Linked DNA regions of Oryzias latipes. The protein of the gene in region 2 interacts with the protein of the main gene of each other region in a pairwise test. Links are inferred from orthologs where the notes say so. Each region holds a gene or a part of one and is shown on either strand. Other genes may lie near its edges.

What was found.
Region 1: the proteins of khdrbs2 (region 2) and hnrnpr interact in binary tests that used the Homo sapiens proteins (3 or more experiments, as listed by UniProt). The link is inferred for Oryzias latipes from reciprocal best matches to the Homo sapiens genes KHDRBS2 and HNRNPR.

The regions. Positions count from the first base shown.
Region 1 is NC_019869.2:6,651,971-6,656,526, reverse strand, and holds the start of hnrnpr (heterogeneous nuclear ribonucleoprotein R), read right to left. Parts: upstream 3,093-4,556; 5' UTR 2,923-3,092; intron 2,404-2,922; 5' UTR 2,400-2,403; coding exon 2,237-2,399; intron 2,154-2,236; coding exon 2,035-2,153; intron 1,957-2,034; coding exon 1,849-1,956; intron 1,747-1,848; coding exon 1,633-1,746; intron 998-1,632; coding exon 821-997; intron 675-820; coding exon 539-674; intron 453-538; coding exon 247-452; intron 169-246; coding exon 19-168; intron 1-18. Other genes in the region: ATPase inhibitor A, mitochondrial, read right to left, coding at 4,029-4,170, 4,249-4,361. UniProt on the Homo sapiens protein: Component of ribonucleosomes, which are complexes of at least 20 other different heterogeneous nuclear ribonucleoproteins (hnRNP). hnRNP play an important role in processing of precursor mRNA in the nucleus.
Region 2 is NC_019873.2:24,521,007-24,524,828, forward strand, and holds part of khdrbs2 (KH domain-containing, RNA-binding, signal transduction-associated protein 2), read right to left. Parts: intron 3,521-3,822; coding exon 3,404-3,520; intron 1-3,403. UniProt on the Homo sapiens protein: RNA-binding protein that plays a role in the regulation of alternative splicing and influences mRNA splice site selection and exon inclusion. Binds both poly(A) and poly(U) homopolymers. Phosphorylation by PTK6 inhibits its RNA-binding ability.

The DNA.
Region 1 (4,556 bases), on a different chromosome or scaffold from region 2:
TGACGGAGCAGAGCTCACCTGTACAGCAGCGTCCCTTTCTTCAAAGTGGACAAAGGCGTAGTCTTTGAGTTTTTTCACTCGTTCCAGCTTTCCAAACTGTGAGAAGGTCTTCTCCAGCAGCTCCTCAGTCACTGCTGTTGCCAGCTTCCTTACAAAAAGCACCTTCACCTATGACAGAGGAGAGTATGTCTTAGAATCATTTTACAGGTACAGGTACTTCCATTTCTGAACAGGAAAATAGCTCACCTTTGCCATGACCTCTGGGTCGGGTTCAGCTACAGGGTCAGCCCACTCAACGGTGACGGGGTTGCCCCAAACCTTCACCTTCCCACTCATTAGACGCCGCCGAGCTTGTGCTGCAGACTTGTGGTCCTCGTACTCCAGAAAGCAGAAGCCACGGTTCTTCTTCTTATCGTCTGGCTGGTGGTACAAAATCACATCCTGAAGACCCTCTGCAAAGAAAAACCGCATCACTCGTCAGCGACAGACAACCGACTGAAAGGGTTTCTCCAAATACAATCATTGACTTGAAACAGACCTGTAACCTTGCCGAAGTCTTCCAGTATACTTTCCCTCGTCTTGTTTTTGGGAATTGATCCAACAAACAGCCGGTTGTTTGCAACAGATATACAAACTCCCAAATACTTGCCAGGGCGGATTTCGTGGTTATCACACTAAAAACAAAAAAACAAAAAACAGCAAATACTTGAAAAGTAATGAAACACAGTAGAAGAAAACACACATTTGCTCAAACTATTCTTCCACAAAATCACTTTCTTTTATATCCAACGGGATCCATGAGATTTTAAAATGGACTTACAAGCTTGACGGCCTTTTGGGCATCGTCCTTGTTGCAGTATGTGATGAAAGCGTATCCTCTGTTTTGACCAGAAAGGGGGTCCATCATTAACCTCAGGTCCCAGATGGGACCTGCAGACTCAAACAGGGGCACAAGCTCGTCTTCATACAAATCTCTGGGGATTTTTCCTACAAACACCTGAAAGAAAGACAAAACACAAAAACTAAATCAATCATGAAAAAAATGACAATTCTATATAAAATTAAAACAATTTCCCTTCTAATTCAACTATCCATATTTATTTTCAACTTTCTTATTTACCTGCTTTATATATATATATATATATATATATATATATATATATATATATATATATATATATATATATATATATATATATATATATATGTGTGTGTATATATATTTCGTTTTAGCATGCGTATGTGAACGATTTTAAACTGATCTTGTGGCGTTTTCCTGTTGAAATAGAGGAAGAAAATTTAGCTCAAATTTGTATTTTTTGGGTATTTCTTTATTCAAATCTATGTAAATCAGGAGCAGACAAATTTAAAAAGATTGTATTTGTCATCTCTGCTCTGCAAAGGGAAAAGGGGGGCGGGGGCGCTTCACGGCAACGGTCCACTCAGGTGAATTTCTACTGAACTCCTGTCGCTCTGCGGAAACTATAATCTAGAAAACTGCACAGGTTTTTGATTGTTTTTCAAATGATATGAAAAGACCAGTGAGAACACTTTGAAAATAGATCAAAAGATGGTCGGAGTGGATCTTTAACGAACAGGATGTGTAATCATGCTTCTTTAAATAATCCCCACCTCTGTTCCAATCCCTGGATGTGTGCCTTTGAACATCTCCTCAGGTGGGGGGCCTCCATACTTTCTTTGTCCCGTGGTGACATCTAGGGTGTATCCTGTTCGCTCCAAGAGAGCCTTGGAAAGTAAACAATCAAAAAATGGGAAAAGCTTTGTAACTGAGAGAACATTTTGGCATTTCAACTTAGCCCAAAAAAACTGCAAATCAAGAGCGTTTACCTTTATTTTTGCCTCATCTGGGCCTTTAGTGGACTCTTGTACCTTACTGCCTTGTTTTTCTCTCTGCCTATACGTCTTCATAACTCCACAAAGAAACGCACTTTTATTCTGCAATTAAACAGACCAAATGATACTTTAGAAAACTGTTTAAAAAAGTACTGATGAGCACATAATTGAGTGTAATACCTGCACATGGGACAGATCGCTCTCCTTAAACTGCTGCAGGACTGTTAGAGCTCCCTCCTCATTGAACTCCCGTAGAGCATCAATGGCCCTTTCATCCAGATCTGCATACGCTACCAGGCCTAAACATCATGACAAAGTGAGCTAAACTGAACACATCAACAACAAACACATTGGAGCTTTGAAGGTAACAACAACCAGCCACCTGTTTGGAAAATGTTGTCTAGATTTTCAGCCACTTTCTGGGGAAGCCCTGCATCAATGAGGGTCTGGTAGTTTTCAGTGTGAGTTGTAGTTGTAGTCACATCCATAGGCTCCTCTTCTTCCTTTACTGGGGCCGAACTACCATTCACCTCAGCGGAAGCCATTCTCCTGTTAGATAGACATGAATAAAAACAGTTTTAGTTTATTACTTCATTTACTGTCAACTTGACATACCAGAAACAAGCTATCAAATTACGGAATATCTGGCTTTTAACTCAAAGATTTTTTAAACGAAAACGTTACGTTAAATGTCAGTATTATTATAAAAAACAATGTTATTTATTACTGATTTTCAAAATAAAACGACCCGCTCATACATTTTAAAAGGCTTATTCCACAGTACCGCCCCCTTCACATGGCGCCTGATCGATAGCTAACATCTTTCATTTATAATACTACGTGGCCCAAAATGTTCTAAAAGCTTAAGAAAAAAACAGTCATCAATGAGATCCAAAAAGTTCCACTCGTTTAAATGAAGTATTAAAGTCCATGTGTGTTGATTTTAGCAGTACACAAGAATACGTCCTAGCTAGCTAACGGGCTAACACGAAGGCCTCGCCGTGCAGCCCAGACACCTTTACACGCGCGCGCCGTAAAAGGCACAAACGGGTAGTTAGCAAGACTTACCAGGATGATTTAGAAAACTAGCTGGAAAATGTTTGAAAAAATATGAAACACTTGTTTTTTCGGGCGTTGGGAAAATGCTAAATGCCAAGAATGTTCAGGTCTACCACACGACAAATTTTTTCCAGACGGCAGCGGTCTCGTCTCGGCTCGCCCGAACAACGCCACTGAGGGAAACATCGCGAGATGTGAGAGTCTGCGGTACAACGTTGGTTTGCAAATCTAGCTCGTGTCATTGGGTCTTCAAAATGGAAACATGACTTTCTGTAATATTTTTTATTTTTCTCAATTTTATGTTTTGTAATATCCGCTTTAAAATTGTGTAAATTTCCAGAGGCTACAAGGAAATCAAACTGTTTTTACAAGTGTAATCAATCTCCTCACCATAACTTAGAAACCAACATATTTACATTTTTTCCAGTACTAGTAATTTATTTTATGATTAAATGATGGGGTGTTTGATTGTAAATTTCGATTAAAGTTGAAATATTGCCCTTTTAAAAATGTGATTTAATCCATGTAATAATTATTCCTCGTTTCATTTGGTTTATTCATTTGTCCTGTTTGGTTTAGTGAGGTAGGAAAGTATTTACAAGGTCTGAGTGAATTTCTTAAATGGGTAAATCCCTCAGACAGAGCTAAGGCCTGAAATGACAGACCTTTGTGAAAGTTTTGGCTTCAGTTTTGCAGCAAATGCCCTTCTTGGTCTGATGGAGCGTATCCATCCCCATAAGCTTGTGGTACCTTTACAGAACAATCCAAAGACTATCCAGATCTGACTTTGCTTAGCAGCTGAGATCACATAAGACCAGGTATCTCCAGCTGTGCCATCAGAAGTGTTCACAACCTCTCCATATCATCACCATAACAGGCTTAAAATAAAAACAAAAAATGAGTCCAGGTGTAACCGGGAACCCTAAATTTTGAGATGGCATAAACAGGGGAAATGAAAATCAACATAAACCAACAGAAAATCAATCATTTTATTTTGGAACGTATATAAAAGATAATCGTTTGCTTCATTAACTGCCAAAATGAGCAGATAGTCAATTATCTTTACATTGTTTTCAACGTTGCCACCCTTTCTATCAGAGTTGTGAGCGCAAACTTCAATCGTCATGTTTCAGTTTTCTAATCTTGCCAACGTGGCGGTCGATCTCCTTTTGCAGACGCTCTATTTCCTTCTTATGGTGCTCAATCTCTTCCGAATGATGCCTCCTCAGCACCTCCAGCAGCTCCATCTCCTTCTTTCTGCAGACAAAAACCATACTTGTCAAAAAGGGAAACGCTGGCATGAAGTTTTCCTCGAAAACCTGTTTCATTTCTTACCTGAAGTACCGCTCCTCCTCCACCACCGCTCGCTTTCCAAAAGCACCTCCTGCCTGCCTCACAGAGCCTCCTCCACCTCCACCTTTCCCTGCTCCTCCGCCCAACTCACCAAGCTGGAACAAAGGGCACATCATAGGATCCCAGCATGCAGTGGCTTTTCCATAAAAACGAGCAAACTTGACTTTTTTTGGTTTCAATTAGGCAACTGTTGCATAACAAAAAAAATTCTGTTTCTTTATTTACATTCCCCAAACATGACAATTCTTCATGCAAATAAAACAGCAGGTGTTTTTGGTGATTGTTGATTC
Region 2 (3,822 bases):
AGGATTTGAACCTGGCTCCAGAAACCTGAGTTGATGATGTGTTTTTGCTTGTAATTGAACTCTGGATGTGTCTTTTCGGTGCTGCTGCATTGCCAGCTGGCTCGAACAGCAGTAAACCTCTCACTCGTGACCTCTGGGTGTCAGTCTCATCACAAAACCTTCAGGCTAGTTCGGATGCTGCTCCAGATCAATAAAACAAACTGAAAACTCTAAGCCAAAACAGTATGTTGCTACTGCTGATAAAAACTGAGTGTCAATGTGTTAGCCTGAACACAAATTGATATGCAGGAGATGAATAAAGTCATAAAAACTGTGCTCTTATTTTAAAATGATCTGTTGAACAGAATTGAGTTATGTTTAAGTGCAGAAAAAAAAACAATAGGCTTTTTACTTTGAGTTGTCAAGAAATATACAATATATATAATAATATTAAACTGCATGATATTGTCTTTTTGCATAAATTGTTTTTTGTGGTAAGAAAATTATGAAGTATAAATGCAGTGATACACTGACAGGTTCACTCCTGACCACAAACAAAAGTAAATATATTGGTCACATTACATTTTTTTGCCCTTTGAAATTTTTGTAAACTTGATTTCAGTACTAATTTAATACTTGGTTTGCAATTGTATTACTTTCAATAAAAAGTAATAAATCAAAGGGGAACATTTTTAAGGATCATTGACTTTAGTTGAGGTTTCTTGTTTATTTTTTGTTTTATTTTGGTTGTGAAAAATTGTGTTTTGGGTTTTGCTTAAATAAAAATACTTAAATTATACTAGAAAATTTCATATGTTGTTTTATTAGAAGAGAATGGTTTGCTTTACAGCTAGAAAAGGTAATACATCCTCTTGTATTTTAGTTAAACTAAGCTGCACGCATTTCTACAGCACTCTGAAACTGCAGCAGTAAAGTTTGCATCATTAAGTCAAAGTGAAGTCAGTGTCAGTGTCATCCTGTTGTTTTGTTGCTAAAATAATATTTGGCAGTTAATGAATTTTTTTTATAAATTAATTCAATTTCTTGTATGAAATTTATCAAGCAATTATGAGTAGAGAATAACTGATTTGTATAGGGGAAAAAAGTAGCCAAACTTTAAGTACTGATGATACTTAACCCTACGATTCCATGTTTCTGTTGACTTTTGCTGACTTGAGGAAAAGCACAAATGATATATACATAAATAAATAATCTAAGTATTTGTGATTAGGTTGAAATATGATATGTTAAATGTACAAATGTAAGCGTGTGATTTTGGCCTTAAAGTAATTCAACTTTAAAAAAAACTTTGAAATTTCTTGAGCTTTTTTTTATTTTCATTATTTCAATTTAAACTTTTTTTATTTCTCAGGGACACAGCAGATTAAAAGCTTTCCATGCAATGAGCCTGAATTAGCTAAGTGGTTGTTTTTCATCTCCGGACAGATTTAAAAATTGTCTACCTAAAAAGCTAAAATACACCAATTAAAGACATATTTTAAAATCACAAAAAAAGTTATTTTAAAAATTAACACTCTTTTATGTTCACAAGTTGCAGGTTTTGTCCTAAATGCTTTCCAGTAAAATTGATGACCCATTTCTGAAGGTGCTGTATGGATAGAAAATAGTCAGATTTGTGATTGTCTGATCCTCGATTTGTAACTCCTACAATACATCTTGTACATCACGGTATACTTGAAAAAGTGGGAAAAATGTCAAGTTTCTACTAGATATTATTCACAATCTGAGTTCAAAGTGGCTAATTAGGAAAACTCTGATGACCTAGCATTTTAGCAGCATTTAAATGCATCATCTATGGACAAATCCGGAGGTGTGAAAAGAGTCTCACAGCCTGTCCTGCACCTGTAACTCCAATTGGTGTGTAAATATGGTTTTGTGTGCGTGTATCAGGCATTCAGTGCTTACTATTTAAAGATTTCTATGCATAGGAGCTGTGGTTAGTTTTAAGCGGAAATTTCAAGTTGTTTTCTATTTGTGTGCTTTTGATATTTGTTTGTATGTGAATACACAGTTACACACAAAATGTTTTGTATGAATTGAAAAACAAGTATTATGCACACACAAATCTAGTGAGACTATTTTTTCTACATAGCACAGCTGCATGAACAGTGTTAACTTCCATCTTATACACTTGCCTTATACAACGCTTACTCTGCATTGCTTGTGGTCAGGGTCAGAAAGTATCTTCCTTAAAATTATGTTTGAATTGTTTGGAAGCCGAACAACTGGAATATCAATGGCAGTGTAAAGAAAACAGGCAGAAGCATACAGTGCTAATCCACAATGAATGAGGTTTTCCTGCATACAAATCAAAGGGGAACATTTTTAAGGATCATTGACTTTAGTTGAGGTTTCTTGTTTATTTTTTGTTTTATTTTGGTTGTGAAAAATTGTGTTTTGGGTTTTGCTCCTCCCTCATATCACATTCACACCACGAGTTTTCATTCATCACATCTAGTTTTAGCTTGCTAATTACTGTCAGTGTTTTTAAAAAGCTCTTAGGATTTGGGATTTAATTAGGGATCCTCTTTTTTAAACCTGCCATTATTTTTGATTTAGTCAAGTTCCAATCCAGTTTGGTGTTTTAAATGATATTTTAGTTATTTAGTGATTTAACATTGTCCTCTTTTGTTTTATTTTGCCAACCACAGTTATGAAGGATGGCAAAGTTGGACAAAAATGATAAGCAGTAAGACAAGAAAAACGCCACAATTTTTGCTTTGCAGTTTAAATGACAGAAAATACATGAAAAAGATAACTTCAAATGTATCTGATAACCATACTTCCTTAGTCAACACTCACTTTAACCCCTCATTTCATTGTTGATTTTTTTCTCTAAAATAATCAATTACATCATTTTTAAAGCTGCAATAAATTCCCTCTATTATGTTATCATCTGCCTCTGCTTGACATATTGAAACATAGCTAAAGTTTCACTGAAGAGCTGGTAACTCTGCACTTCTTTTTCATGTCAAGATGTCCAAATCAGAGATTACAGTAATAATAGCAACGCAAATCAATATCGCTTCTCCAACAACTGTTATAGTCTTTGACTCAGAAAAGCTGTCTGTGCTCACTTTTTAGCTTCAGGGGATCCCAAGTCAGAGAGATAAATGACTCAGGCAGAGAGATCAATTACTTTGCATTCATAATTGACTATTACAGAAGATGCTATTAAACAAGACGAAAAAAAAACACACTACAGTTTTGCCTACATGTATTTGTCAAGTGGAAGCTATTAATTCTTGTGAACATTGCTGATCTCAGTCACTCCTCAGTGGTTTCGTGGAAATATTCCTCCGTGCTTTGGCGGAATCCTTTTATTTCTATGAAGACTTCTCTTGGAGGAACACATGAGAGTGCGAAGAAAAACATTTTTACAACACAAATCAATATATCTCACCTTTTCTTTATCCCTCATAGACCCTTTGCCAAGGATGGACATCTTCACTCCCGTCTCCTCTTGTAATCTTTTCATAGAATTTCCCCGTGGTCCCAGCAGCTTCCCCACAAAGTTAAACTATGACATAAAAGGGATTTGGGGAAGTTATTTGTACTGCCAGCGTTAAGGTAGAACACCAATCATATTTTGAAAAACAAATACTTCCAAATTTGTTAGCAGCATGCAGGAATTCAGACGTTCTGGGAAAAAGGTTAAACATAAAAGACACCTTCCATCTAATAGTCAGTTATTGAAAGAATAATCTCATGTTCCACTTGCTGCTCATCATGAGGTAAACCTGTAATGCAACCAGTAATAAATCAATATCATTGCACTTGTGTTTAGCACATTAAAGGTGAATGTTCTCATCTGCGTTTCAG